Mus musculus: one gene and its partners. The protein of the gene in region 1 purifies or fractionates together with the protein of each later gene. This does not show direct contact. Links are inferred from orthologs where the notes say so. Each region holds a gene or a part of one and is shown in the gene's direction. Other genes may lie near its edges.

Region 1 (3,643 bases):
TGTTCAAAACTATTTTACATTTGTTTTGGGGAGGGGTTTGTGGAGGTCTCTCTGTTCATCAAGCTTGGTGCAAAGCCCCCTTCCTCCTTGAGAACAGTGTTCTCAGTGTACAGTTTCCATCTAGTCTCTTCCCAAGGAACAGAGACTTGGGTAATCTGTTACCATGTGTGAACCAGTATTAATACATGCCTACTAGCCTGACGTTACTGCCTCATTCCTCCCACTTGTTTTGATGATCTCAAAAATTTTAAGGAGAACCATTCAAAAGTATTGCAGGGAAATTATTTTTTTTTCCAGCATTTTTCTAATGATTTTAACTTTGATATTGGGTTCGGGCAGAAGAGCACAGATATCAAGAATATGTGTTAGGAATATGATCATGACTGTTGATGTTGTCTGGCAGAAGTCATAGGAATTTTCCCACCTTTTGACTGCTGTAGTGTTAGGAAGGAAGTCATACTTAAGGAAAGGGAATTATGTCTGTCTTCCTGAATTGATGTTAATGTGAGCTTAGGGTTAGTGCTGCTATATCTAGTTAAAATCCCTTGACCATTTGCCTCCTTCTAGCCTTTTTCTTGAGTAAATTTCCCTTTTCCTGAGTAAATTTTCACTTTAAAGTTTAGAAAACTTTCCCCATCACCCAGCAGTCATTTACATGACTGCTATTTACATATACGGGTATAAGCTGGGGCAGACTCATTAACTGGACCCCCTGGAGTCCGGTGATATCTGCAGTTCTTTTTATGTTTAGTGTTACTGATTCTATTCATTTTTAAAGTGCCCAAGGCCACCACCTGCTTGTCTTTGCATACATTTGTAATTCATTTAGGTGGTTTTGTCACTGGGAGCCTTACTTCTTAACTAATCTTTAAAAGGCGATTAGCATACATTAAGGATTAGTCTTTGTTTTGTAAAGTTCCTTGGGTTTTGACAGATGCATAATAATACCATGCATCTATCTTAGGCACCTATTCATTCAGCTAGTTTCAGCCCCTAAAGGTTCCCCACGCTTTCTCCTGCAACCACTGATCTTTATTGACTGCTTTTGCCTATTTCAGAAAGTCACGTAATTGCAATCATAAGTATGTAAGCTTTTAAAAATGCTGCTTTCAGGTAGCAATATGCATTAAGGTTCTTCCCTGGTTTTTCATGGTTTGTTAGCTATTCTCTTATCACTGTTCCATTTGTGGAGGCACACTGTTGGTTTAATCATTCACCTATTTGAAAGATATCCTTGCTTGCTTCCAGGTTTTGATGATTATGAACAAAGCTTCTGTAAACTGCTGTGTTCAGGTTTTTGTAGGAACTTAAATTTTATGATTAGTTGTATTAATATCTGGAAGCAAGATTGCAGAATTATAAAATCATGCTGTGATTTGTAAGCAACTGCTAGACTATTGTATGAAGTGGCCTGATTTGTTCCAGTCGCCATCACAATGAATGAAAGTTCCATTCCTCTTCTTTCCCAGCAATTCATCTTTCTACTTTTTTTGAATTTTAGCCATTCTCAGTGTTTTTTTTAAAGGCTCCTTGATTGTTAAATGTGTTGAACATTGTTTTAATGCTCTACCACTGAGCTTGGTCCCCAGCCTGAGTATTGGTTACATATGTCCATTGGCCATCTCTATATCTTTTACCTGTGCGATTAGATCACTTACCTACTTTTCATTTTTGTCATTTTGTAGTGCTAGGAATTAAACCCATGTTTTTGTGTATGCATTCATTATCACTGAGCTGGCCCTATTTTTAAATTGGCTTGATCTAACCTTTTTATACATGTATTTCCCCTGGTGTGCTCCATGATAGAAAATTATGTTGTTTAGCATACATGCATTTATGTATGTTATGTATGTGCATTTGAAAATGATGTTGCTAGGGACATGGTGGTACATGCCTGAAATTCTAGTAGTCTTGAGGCAGAGGAAGAGAATTGTGAGTTCAAAAACCTAATGACTGGGCTGCATACCAAGTCATTGTTTTTGGAAAACAAAACATTAACCAAAATTTTAGGAAGTAGTATTTGCATTTAATCCCTGAAATATACTTTGATGTTCTCTATTATTTCATTAGCATCATGCCTGTAATCCCAGCACTTGTGAGCCTCAAGCTGGAAGGCAAATTGCCATGAATTCCAGGCCAGCCTGGCCTTCTTAGTGAGTTCAAGATCAGTCCAGGCAATGGCCCTCTCTCAGAAAGCAACTAATGTTGTAGTGTCTTAAAACTTGATGCGAACTTGCATGAGAATACAGTGTCCTAGCACCCACACGATGCCAATACTGACCCTTTAATTCCTCACATAGCCATACCCAGCCTCATATACGCTTGATTCCTGCCTCCACTCCATGTCTGTACTTCTCTGTTCATCTTTTTCCTTTGCCTTATCTGGGAATATATGAGAAAGGCTTCAGCATTGTGAAATTGAATCATTGCTAGATGAGGCTTCTTTAAATGAAGGCCTAGACAGAAGAGCCCCTCTTATCTCCAGACTTAATGCTTCACTTGAGGTGTCTTGGGTTTGGGCCCATATATCTGACCATAGCAGTTCAGATTGCCAGGTCTTATATCTAAGCCTGCTTTCTTCAGTTATGGATGGTTCTATACACAATCCGCTGAGGAGTGCTTTGTAAAAATAACTTCTATGTTGTCTTTGCTAAGGCCTGTAGGCCTGCCTTTCTGAGCCCATTCAGGCTCTTACCCACGTTCAGAGCATCACCGCACATCCCTGTTCCTCTCCCCCCCTGGCAGTTTGCAGAGCAGTCCCTGATGAAGAATGCCATAAAGACATCAGAAGAGTCATGGATTGAACAGCAAATGCTGGAAGACAAGAAACGAGCTACAGACTGGGAGGCCACAAATGAGGCCATAGAGGAGCAGGTGGCTCGAGAATCTTACCTTCAGTGGCTGAGGGATCAAGAGAAACAGGCCCGCCAGGTCCGGGGACCCAGCCAGGTGGGTCATGGACTCTGTCATTGGCCTGACCAAGACCTGTTACTTCTTATCTTTTGACCCCTAATTGACAGGGATAAAATAAGAGATTTTGACATCTGGGAGAAAGGGAAGCTCCCAGCCCCATCTCTAACTCATCTCATCTTTAGTCTTGGCATCGTACCTTGGAACTCTCAACACTTGATTTTAAGAAGTGAAGGAGAGCCAGCTCTTAAGAAACGAAGAGAGCAGCTACCACTGCTGGTAGCACAAAGGAACAATGGATAGCTACAAAGAGAGCAGCTTTTTTTGGAATCCCTTTGCATGCTGCATTCTGTCCTGAGGATATAGTCTTTCCTTCACTATCTTCAGTGATCCTGTCTGTCTGTTGAGGCAGATACGGCATTGGTCAGGCCTGTGACTCTGGTTGTACAAGACCAGGAGAGGTGGAGGATCCAGTCGGTTGTATTTCTAGGATAGCAAGCAGGGAGGCAGGCGCCTGGGGAATCACAGAGGGCTTTAGAATGACTAAATGGTTCCAGAAGCTGAATAATCTGATCAGCGAGTATTTACTATACGCCTGTGACAGGAAGCAGGAGGTCCTATTCCTAGTGTAGCGGGCTACATTGTGAACCTAGCAGGCCAAAGTACCTATCCTTAGGCTACTCACAGTTTTACTAAGTGAAATAAAATGCTCATAATGAATAAATTAGTTGGA
Region 2 (4,351 bases), on another chromosome or scaffold:
CTTCCAGGTAGCTGGTCTCAAGAGTCTTTGCAGCTCACCTGAGCTCCATCTCAGAGGGACTCTCAGCTTTTATTGCTTACTCTGGTGGGAGGGGCCTAGTGAATCTGGTCAGTTTTAAGGACTTCCTGAAACTCCTTTGAGTTTTTTGATTGGTTTTGTTTTTTTGAGACAGGGTTTCTCTGCATATTCTTGGCTATCCTGGAACTCACTCTGTAGACCAGGCTGGCTTCCAATTCATAAGCGATCTGCCTGCCACTGCCTCACAAGTGGTGGGAATCAAGGTGTGAGGCACCATGCCGCCTTGCTGCTTTTAGTTTTTAGTTTACTATTTCAGAAGCTTCCCCTCAAGTTAGAATGTTTCAAGTTCATAGAATGTTTCAGTCCTTCAGGAAACTGTTGCACAACACCTGGACCCGAGTCCCCAAATTTCTATGTCTTTTTCCAGTGTCCCTACCCACAGCTCTCTATACTTTCCCTTGGCTTTTTATTTCTTCACAACACTTAAGTGCAAATATTGTATTTTGTCTGTCTTTTCACTCTGGAAGCATGGCTGGCTCCAGTGCCGTAGATATTCAGCAAATCTTCTTGAACAAACCTCTAATTAGGGGATTCAATGTCTTGTGTTTTGGTTTCTGCTTACTTATGTCTCACACTGTTAGGTGTGTGTCACGGGCAAGAAGGTAGATATATGTAGTTAGTATAACAAAAGTTATATTTTATTATGCTGAAGGTCATCATGCAAGGTTTACAGTCTAAATTTCTTACAGTCCTAAGCCTGTCTCCCCAAGGTCACCTGTGTCACCTATCTTAGCTTCAGATCAGGTTTCTGATTTGAGGATCAGGACCCTGGCGGGGGGGGGGGGGGGGGGGGGGGAGTGGATTCTCTAGCCACAGAGCAGATCAAGGTGTATCTCTCCAGATGTGTAGAGCAAATCACTGCTTTTGGTCTCTGCTTATATTCTGTCCAGTGGGCATCATGGGGTTCTAGGACTGTATCTGGTTATCTTGCGTGAGTGATGTCACTGAGCTCTGGATCAGGAGCAGCCTTGGATGCTGTGGGATTCCTGCTTAATCTAGTTTTATATGTCTAAAAGGCATTTTTTAAAATTATGCTCATTACAGGGTGAAAGTTTTTTTCTGGGTCTGGGTTATGCTTTTTGGTTTCTGTCCCACTCTGATGGTCTAAGTTCATCAGAGTGCACAATGTGGGCCACGTATTCTTAGAGGTCTGTCTCAGGGGTCCCGTGGTTGGTGTGCAGTGAGTCCTCTGGTCTCAAGCCAAGTCCCTGGTCCCGTGTGAGTTCGTTCTGGACCAGGCACAGCACCAGGACAGTGGGTGGGACTCTGTGGGGTCCTTATGCCTAAATTCCAACCTAGCTCTCTAGAGCTACCCAGCGCTTGGGTCTCCGAGCGCACATGACGTCCCTCCCCCGCAGCCGCAGTGCTCCTGCCTCACCTCGCTGCTTCCGCCGACCCGCGAGACTCCGCCCTCTCTACCAAGAGAAGCCAATCAACACGCACGCCCTTGACTCCGCCCTAGCGCCCTTCGACGCGAACCCTTCCCTCCTCCCACTCGTAGCCCGCCCGTCAGGCAGGAAGGCTGGCAGTGGTTCTACCGGCGGTTAATTCTCTCCTCTGTGTTGTCCTCCTTCCTCGTTCCCGATCGCCGGCGGGGGCGGCTACACGGGCGGCAGCGCGGTTCCTGCGGGAAGCGCAGCATAAGTCGAGCGGCAGCCGCGAAGCGTCGAACCGAACGCGGCGGCGGCGGCGGCGGCGGCGGCTGTGCAGCCAACATGGCGGCGGCGGCGGCGGCGGGCCCGGAGATGGTCCGCGGGCAGGTGTTCGACGTAGGGCCGCGCTACACCAACCTCTCGTACATCGGAGAAGGCGCCTACGGCATGGTTTGGTGAGTATCCGCGCTGGATTTCAGGCCCGGCCTCACGCGGTCACCCTGTGCCCCCTGCCTGTGGCTGATCTGGACGCACCCACGGCCCTTCCCGCGCCTTGGCCTCGCGTTCTGCGGCGCCCCGGACCCCTGGCTTCTTGGCCTTCACTCCTGGAGCCCTGGGGCGGGGTCCTGGAGCCGGTCGAGGCTTAGGTGTTGCTCCTCGTCTTCCTCTGCTGCTTCTCGTTTGCGGTTGGAGGGGCAACCCCGATTGAGGCCAGGACTCGAAGACTCCGGGGCTTGGTCTTAAAGCGCGTACTTTCGAGGCTTCTCCCTCGGGACGGGAACGGAAGTACACTGTGTCTCCTAATTTATAGCATTATAGCCACCGCCTCTTGACATTAGATTAAAGCCAGGAATTGTATTAGATGCTTGTCCGTGGTGGCGGCGGCCATGGTTTTGCAAGACGGAATAATAGGCTTGTGTGCTGAGCACCAAAATATTTTTCTTCTCTTCTGTGTACGTGAACAGCATTCACAAAATATCTTAAGTAGCGCTAATGATGCTTTCTGCCTCGGGCTTAACCGTTAATGACACAGCGTTGGTTGTGGACATATTGAAATCTTGAAGTTTCAAAATGGATTTAAATATACCGATTGTGTTTCAGAAAGGATAAGCCAGCATCACTCTAGAATTATTAAGAAGTATTTGGAGTTAGTCCTAATTTGACTTTAAATTATCCCGTCGTTACCCTCAAGAGTACTCTCTTAACAGTGTGAATGTATCCATATGTTTTAGCCCGATTACTGTGATCGTTTCCCCATAACGTTTCAGTGTTCAAGAATAGTTTTTGCACGATCACTTGCAGGATTTCCTGCATGTGGAATGTTGAAGTGTATTGTTTTAACTAAAACAAGTTCATTTATCGAAGGTCTCTGAGATAGTTTAATTTAACTTAGCTATCTTGAGGAAAGAGAAGACAGCCTTTTTCAGATAAGGTATTGAAAGGAAGTCCTTTTACAGGGCGAAGAACTAGAATCAAGCTTTGCTGTAGAAAGATCCTGTTTTAAATGCTTCAGCTCTTGAGCTATTGCACAGGCCTCTCCTTGATTTAATAATCTCAGGACTTCGGCATATTTTCCTGATGAACAAGTCTATTCAGAAATGCATTAAAATTTGAATAGTCATAATTTTAGAAATGCCAGAAAAGGTGTGTTTTCACCAAGTGTGCTAACAAGATAGAATAATTAACGTTCTTTTTTTTTTTTTTTAAAGAAAAGACTCATGAATAGTTATATTTTTATGAGCAAAATGTCTCATAGTATACAATTACGAAGATAAAAGTGAACTGGACCTGCAAGTCAAAAGAGGAATGGAGAAAAAGTACTTTCCATATCACATTTGTCTTGCATGTATTACTACCCTGTACCTGCTGGTAAATATGCCAGTAACACTTATTATTGACACTCATGATTACCCACTATAGGCTCATTTATTTAAGGGGGGATTATTTTAAGTAGGGACAAAAAAAAATTAGGATCTGTCAGTTGAACTCACACATTCCCCACCACCCTGAGAAGATGGATTATTTAGATCCTGTTGCTATTCACCTTTGAAGTTTCCACTTGCTGTGCAGAATTCTTTTTAAAATTCAAATTTTAGGGGCTGGAGAGATGAGTCGGCATTTAAGAGCACTGGCTGATCTGGGTTCAATTCCCATGGCAGTTCACAACTGTCTGTAATTACAGTTCCAGAAGATGAGATGTTCTCATAGAGATGCATTCAAGCGAAACATTCATATGCATAAAATAAAGTTAATTCATTTTTTTAAGACAGGGTTTCTCTGTGTTGTTGCCCTGGCTGTCCTGGAACTCAGTTTTTAGACTAGGCTGGCACCTGCCTCTGCCTTCCACCTGGCACCTACAAATTTTAATTTTAAGAAAAATGCAGATGTAATTGGAATTTAAATCCTAACATCAGCCTTTTATCTCCAGATTGATAACATATCTTAGGTATCTTAGTATTTATTTAATAGTCTTAATTGTATGTCATTAGCATCTCATCAATGTTGAGTTTATGGCAGCTTCTTAAGTATCTACTTGAATAGTTGTGATCTTTAAAAAGTTGGAGAGATGGCATAGTGGTTGAATATCATCTGCTGCTTTTGCAGGACCTAAGCTCAGATTCCTGCATCTACATTAGATGACACTCCTACCCAACCCCTGGCTTCCAAGGGCATCTACACTCACGTGGTGCATAGAAAACTCACTAGGGGACACACACTAAAAACTGAATTTAAGAATAACTCTTTTAAAAAGATTATTTAAGGGATTTTAAGCTGTTCTTTAGCAAGATTTCCCTAAAACAGTTCTCCGGGAATAGTGCCTATCTGTTCAAGTTCCCTTCCTAGTCATTATGTAGAAGACAAAAAGATAAAATGTGGGGGTGGGGTGCAGGATAGATATA
Region 3 (4,104 bases), about 160 Mb from region 1:
ATCCTGGAACTTGCCTTTCTCTGAGTCCCAAGTGCTGGGATGACTGATGTGAGCCACCAAGCCTGGCTTTCCTTTGAAATCTTGCCTTCCAATATCATACCCTCTGCTGCTAAACTTGCTGGGGCTTTTGCCTTCTTCAATCCCTCTCTTTCCCGTTTTCCTGCTGTCCAATAGGCTCTGGTGGATTTCAGTCTCTGACCTCCAGGATTAGACCTTTGGCCCTCTACTACATTTACATTCTAAAGAGGCTCCCACTTTGCCCTACTTGACACAATTCATAAAACTGGTTTTGTTAGAGATCTAGATTTATATAGATTACAACTGGCTTTTCGTTCGTAGTTGTGTTTCTAAACTCCACGAGGTCTTCAGTAACGTTTGTCTAAGTTTTGAGTCCTGTTTTATCCTTGTTACTCAAAAATCTCATGGTCATTTGGGAGGCAAGGGCAGGAGATTATTCTAAGTTTGAGACGAGCCTGGTCTGCATACAGATCTCCAGGAGAGCCAGTGACACAATGCACCTCTTACTGTTGCTGAGGTCTCACATAACCCAGACTGGCCTGGAATTTACTAAGTATTCAAGGGGGATCTGGAACTTCTGTTTCCTTTTGTTTCCATGTTCCGTCGCTGCAATACAGTTATGTACTACCATGCGTTTGATGTAGTGTATTAAGATACAGTGTGATCTTTCTTGTATTTGCTAGGCAAGCACTCTACCAAATGAGCTACATCTCCAGTCCTAGCCTGTCTTAAAAACCAAATAAAATAAAATAAAATAAAATAAAATAAAATAAATTCGCGGCTTTTCTAAAACGTCTGCTCCCTTCAAACCTGTGTCCAGTTAGATCTTTTATTTTTCAGTTGTTTTTCCTCCTTTCCTACACCTGAAACAGCCTTGGGTGTCCTTTGCCACACTTATCTTTTAAACACTCCCCCAAAGTCGCTTTGGAAGCCTTCTCTCCTACTTAGCTCTGCTCCTCCTCTCTTCCTAACTTTGGGCTAATGAAGTTCATTTACCAATGAACATGTAGATGGGCAGTGAGCTCCTAGGCAAGAATTCTGCTTTGTTTTCCTCCTTTCCCACCTTTTGCGGTGGTGGACCGCTGGGCTGCACTGTAGCAGATGGTCAAACATTTATGGTGAGTGAAGTTGGCGGGAGAATCCAAGCAAGGGGCTAGGCTAGTCGTGGGGTGGGGGTGGGGGTTCAGAGCAGTCCTGGAGCCTTCAGGGGCTGGCCTGAAGCTAGCTAACCACAGGAGGGAGGGGAGGAGGAAGGGGGTAGGGAGGGGGAAAGGGGGGAGGGAGGGGCCGGCCCATACTGTGGCCTGGGGCCAAGGACGTCTAGAGCAGAGGGTGATGGGAGCTGCCTGTGCTATAGGAAACACTTTTTAGGCGCTTGTTTTGTACTGTCCCTGGAACCCAACGCTGCAGCACTCGCAATTTCACAACCAGCGTGAGTCAGCTGGGCCGGCTGCCGGACTGCGAGGGGAAGGTGGGTGAGGAGGGCTCCTCAGTCCCTGGGGGCAGGCAGGATCGAGTGGTGACCAGAGAGCCCTAGATGCGGTCCCTGCACCCGTAGGACAGGTGAGCGCCAGGCCAGGCTGGCCGCTGGGTGGAGCCGCGTGAGCCACCCTCCAGGGCGCCCTCGCCACTGCACAGGTAACACCCCTCCTGGGCCTCTTCCCCTCCGGCCTCGGTGCCTAGAACACCATTTGTCCCCCGGGACCATTTCGGCCTTGCCCGCAGCACATTTGGGGCCTGGGCAGTTTTGTCCCCTTATAGCTGGTGCCCACGCCCAGCCCACAGCCATTCGCATCTCCCACATAGTGTTCGAAAACCTAGGCGATCCAATGGGCCTTGGGGACAGGGTGGGGGTGGGGTAAGGACAACACCCACTAGTGCCGGGTGCTCAGTCAGAGCCTGTCTCCTGGAGGTAGCTAGTGACCCGGGCTCCAAATCGGCGCGTCCCTGGGGTGTGCCTCTCCGCGCTGGATTTCACACCCCAAGCCCTATTTTTCTCTGCTTTGTGGAGCCCCGAGATGGCGTTGGCGGAAGTGAAACCACGAGACAGTGGGGCGAGCTCCGCGGGGACGGTTTTGAGTAGGCTTTCTGCACCAGCGTACAGGTTAAACAACAACCCTTCTAGCTGGCATGCTAAACTCTACCACCTGGGGGAGGCGGATGACGTCTTCAAAACAATTGATGTGTACTTTATGCTCTTGAAATGTGCCATTTCACATCAGGTCTGTGGGGTTTGACTAGATTTAGACCGTTTTCACCAACCTACAGAGGTCCTTGGTGCTCTTTTTCTTCTAGACAGTTCATTTCCCTACTCCGCCCCCTTGCACTGTTTTGATGATCACTGTCTTGGCTTAGTTTTGCTCATCACGTCATAAATCGGACATAAATCGGGCTTATCCTGTAAGTACTTCTTTGTGTTCGATTTATATTACTTTTAAAATGAGCATCGTTAGAAAGGTGTCTCTTGGTGTAGGCCTGCACAGTGGAGTGGAAATGCATGTGTGGCAAGTTGGAACAGAGATGTGTTTTAATTTGAAACCCCCCACTCCAAGCTTAGTACAAAGCTGTAACATATAGCTCACAATTGTTGCATCCATTCTCTGTCTCTGTCTCTCTCTCTGTCTCTCTGTCTCTGTCTCTCTCTGTTTGTTTCTTCTTTCTTGTTTGAGGCAGGGTCTCACTGTGTAGCCACAACTTGCCTGGAACTTGTTGTGTAGACCAGGCAGCCCTTTAACTTAGAGAGACCTACCTGTCTTTGTCTCTTGAGTACTGGGACTCATACTAGCTAACTTTATATTGTTTTTTTTTTTTGAGCTTCTTACTCTGTAGTCCAGTCTGGCTTGGATCTAATTATGTAGCCTGGGCTGGGTTTGAACTCAGAACTGTCTTCCTGCCTCAGGATTATAGGCATTGGCTATCTTACCCAATTTTTTCAACTCTAATTCTTTTTTTTTTTTCACTTCAAGTTTTATTGTGTCTCTTGCATGGTCTGCAGATAGTTTTACAGTTCATTTGCTATAGGAACTGAGCTGTGATCTAAACAATCAATGAAATGTTATTCCAACCTTAATAAATATTCATAACCATGGAAGATGGCATAGCACTTATCCTACAGCGATGACAGTCAACTCTAATTCTTAATTTGGTTGTTTCTCAGATTGCATCTGGGTATTGGCAGTCACCTATTCGCCCGCCAATGAAGTATATCCTGGTTACTGGTGGGGTCATCTCAGGCATTGGTAAAGGGATTATCGCCAGCAGCATTGGGACTATTCTCAAGTCATGTGGACTCCGAGTTACTGCCATCAAAATTGACCCCTATATTAACATCGATGCTGGAACTTTCTCACCTTATGAACATGGTATGAAAAGGAATCTTTTCCTTTTAAAGCCTTAAACTTTATTTTTGCTATACTAAATACACATACTTTGCAATGATTTCTTCTCTGTGTGTGTTTTTAAATTTGTATTTATGTGTATATGTGTCTGTATGTGCTATGTGTTTGCAGGTTCCTACAGGGGCTGGGAGGGAGAAGTTCTGTGGAACTGGGTGAAGTTACAGGTGGATGTGAGCTATGGGTACTTTGGGATCTTAACTCTGGTATTCTTCAAGAGCAACAGATACTCCTAACTGCTACGCTGTCTCTGGCCCCTTGTCTTGTGTTTTGTGTAACTTCTCTAGGATAGACTTCCAGAAGTAGACTTGCTGGATCATACCTTAGAACTGTGTGAAAATTCTTATGGCCATTGATCCATTTTTCAGATCACTAATGGCATTCCACACAGTCAAGTCTTTGGAAATGGACCATTTTCTATAGACTTGGGTTTAGTTTATTTTATCATAAAGGTAATACATTCCTCTTACCATTTTCCACTGCTGAAATAATTGTTATAAATATTGACTTTATTTTAGGTGTCTTGTGGGGGAGGGTATGCATGCATGAGTATATGTGTGGTTGAGTGTGTGTGTGTGTGTGTGAGAGAGAGAGAGAGAGAGAGAGAGAGAACACACCAATGAATACCGAGGAAAGAGGTTGATTTCAGATGTCTCCCTTAGTCATTTCCACCTTATACTTTGAGGTGGGC

Evidence for each region. The genes of interacting proteins can lie anywhere in the genome.
Region 2: the proteins of Otud5 (region 1) and Mapk1 purify together in Homo sapiens (affinity purification with mass spectrometry; 3 studies listed by BioGRID, with this or other methods). This does not show direct contact. The link is inferred for Mus musculus from reciprocal best matches to the Homo sapiens genes OTUD5 and MAPK1.
Region 3: the proteins of Otud5 (region 1) and Ctps2 purify together in Homo sapiens (affinity purification with mass spectrometry; 3 studies listed by BioGRID and IntAct, with this or other methods). This does not show direct contact. The link is inferred for Mus musculus from reciprocal best matches to the Homo sapiens genes OTUD5 and CTPS2.

What each region holds. Positions count from the first base shown.
Region 1 is NC_000086.7:7,869,251-7,872,893, forward strand, and holds part of Otud5 (OTU domain-containing protein 5), read left to right. Parts: intron 1-2,745; coding exon 2,746-2,949; intron 2,950-3,643. UniProt on the Homo sapiens protein: Deubiquitinating enzyme that functions as a negative regulator of the innate immune system. Has peptidase activity towards 'Lys-48'- and 'Lys-63'-linked polyubiquitin chains. Can also cleave 'Lys-11'-linked ubiquitin chains (in vitro).
Region 2 is NC_000082.6:16,981,834-16,986,184, forward strand, and holds the start of Mapk1 (mitogen-activated protein kinase 1), read left to right. Parts: upstream 1-1,548; 5' UTR 1,549-1,793; coding exon 1,794-1,906; intron 1,907-4,351. UniProt on the Homo sapiens protein: Serine/threonine kinase which acts as an essential component of the MAP kinase signal transduction pathway. MAPK1/ERK2 and MAPK3/ERK1 are the 2 MAPKs which play an important role in the MAPK/ERK cascade.
Region 3 is NC_000086.7:162,900,259-162,904,362, forward strand, and holds the start of Ctps2 (CTP synthase 2), read left to right. Parts: upstream 1-1,301; 5' UTR 1,302-1,489; exon of another isoform or gene 1,490-1,656; intron 1,657-1,912; exon of another isoform or gene 1,913-2,122; intron 2,123-2,313; exon of another isoform or gene 2,314-2,418; intron 2,419-3,175; coding exon of another isoform or gene 3,176-3,214; coding exon 3,215-3,380; intron 3,381-4,104. UniProt on the Homo sapiens protein: Catalyzes the ATP-dependent amination of UTP to CTP with either L-glutamine or ammonia as the source of nitrogen. Constitutes the rate-limiting enzyme in the synthesis of cytosine nucleotides.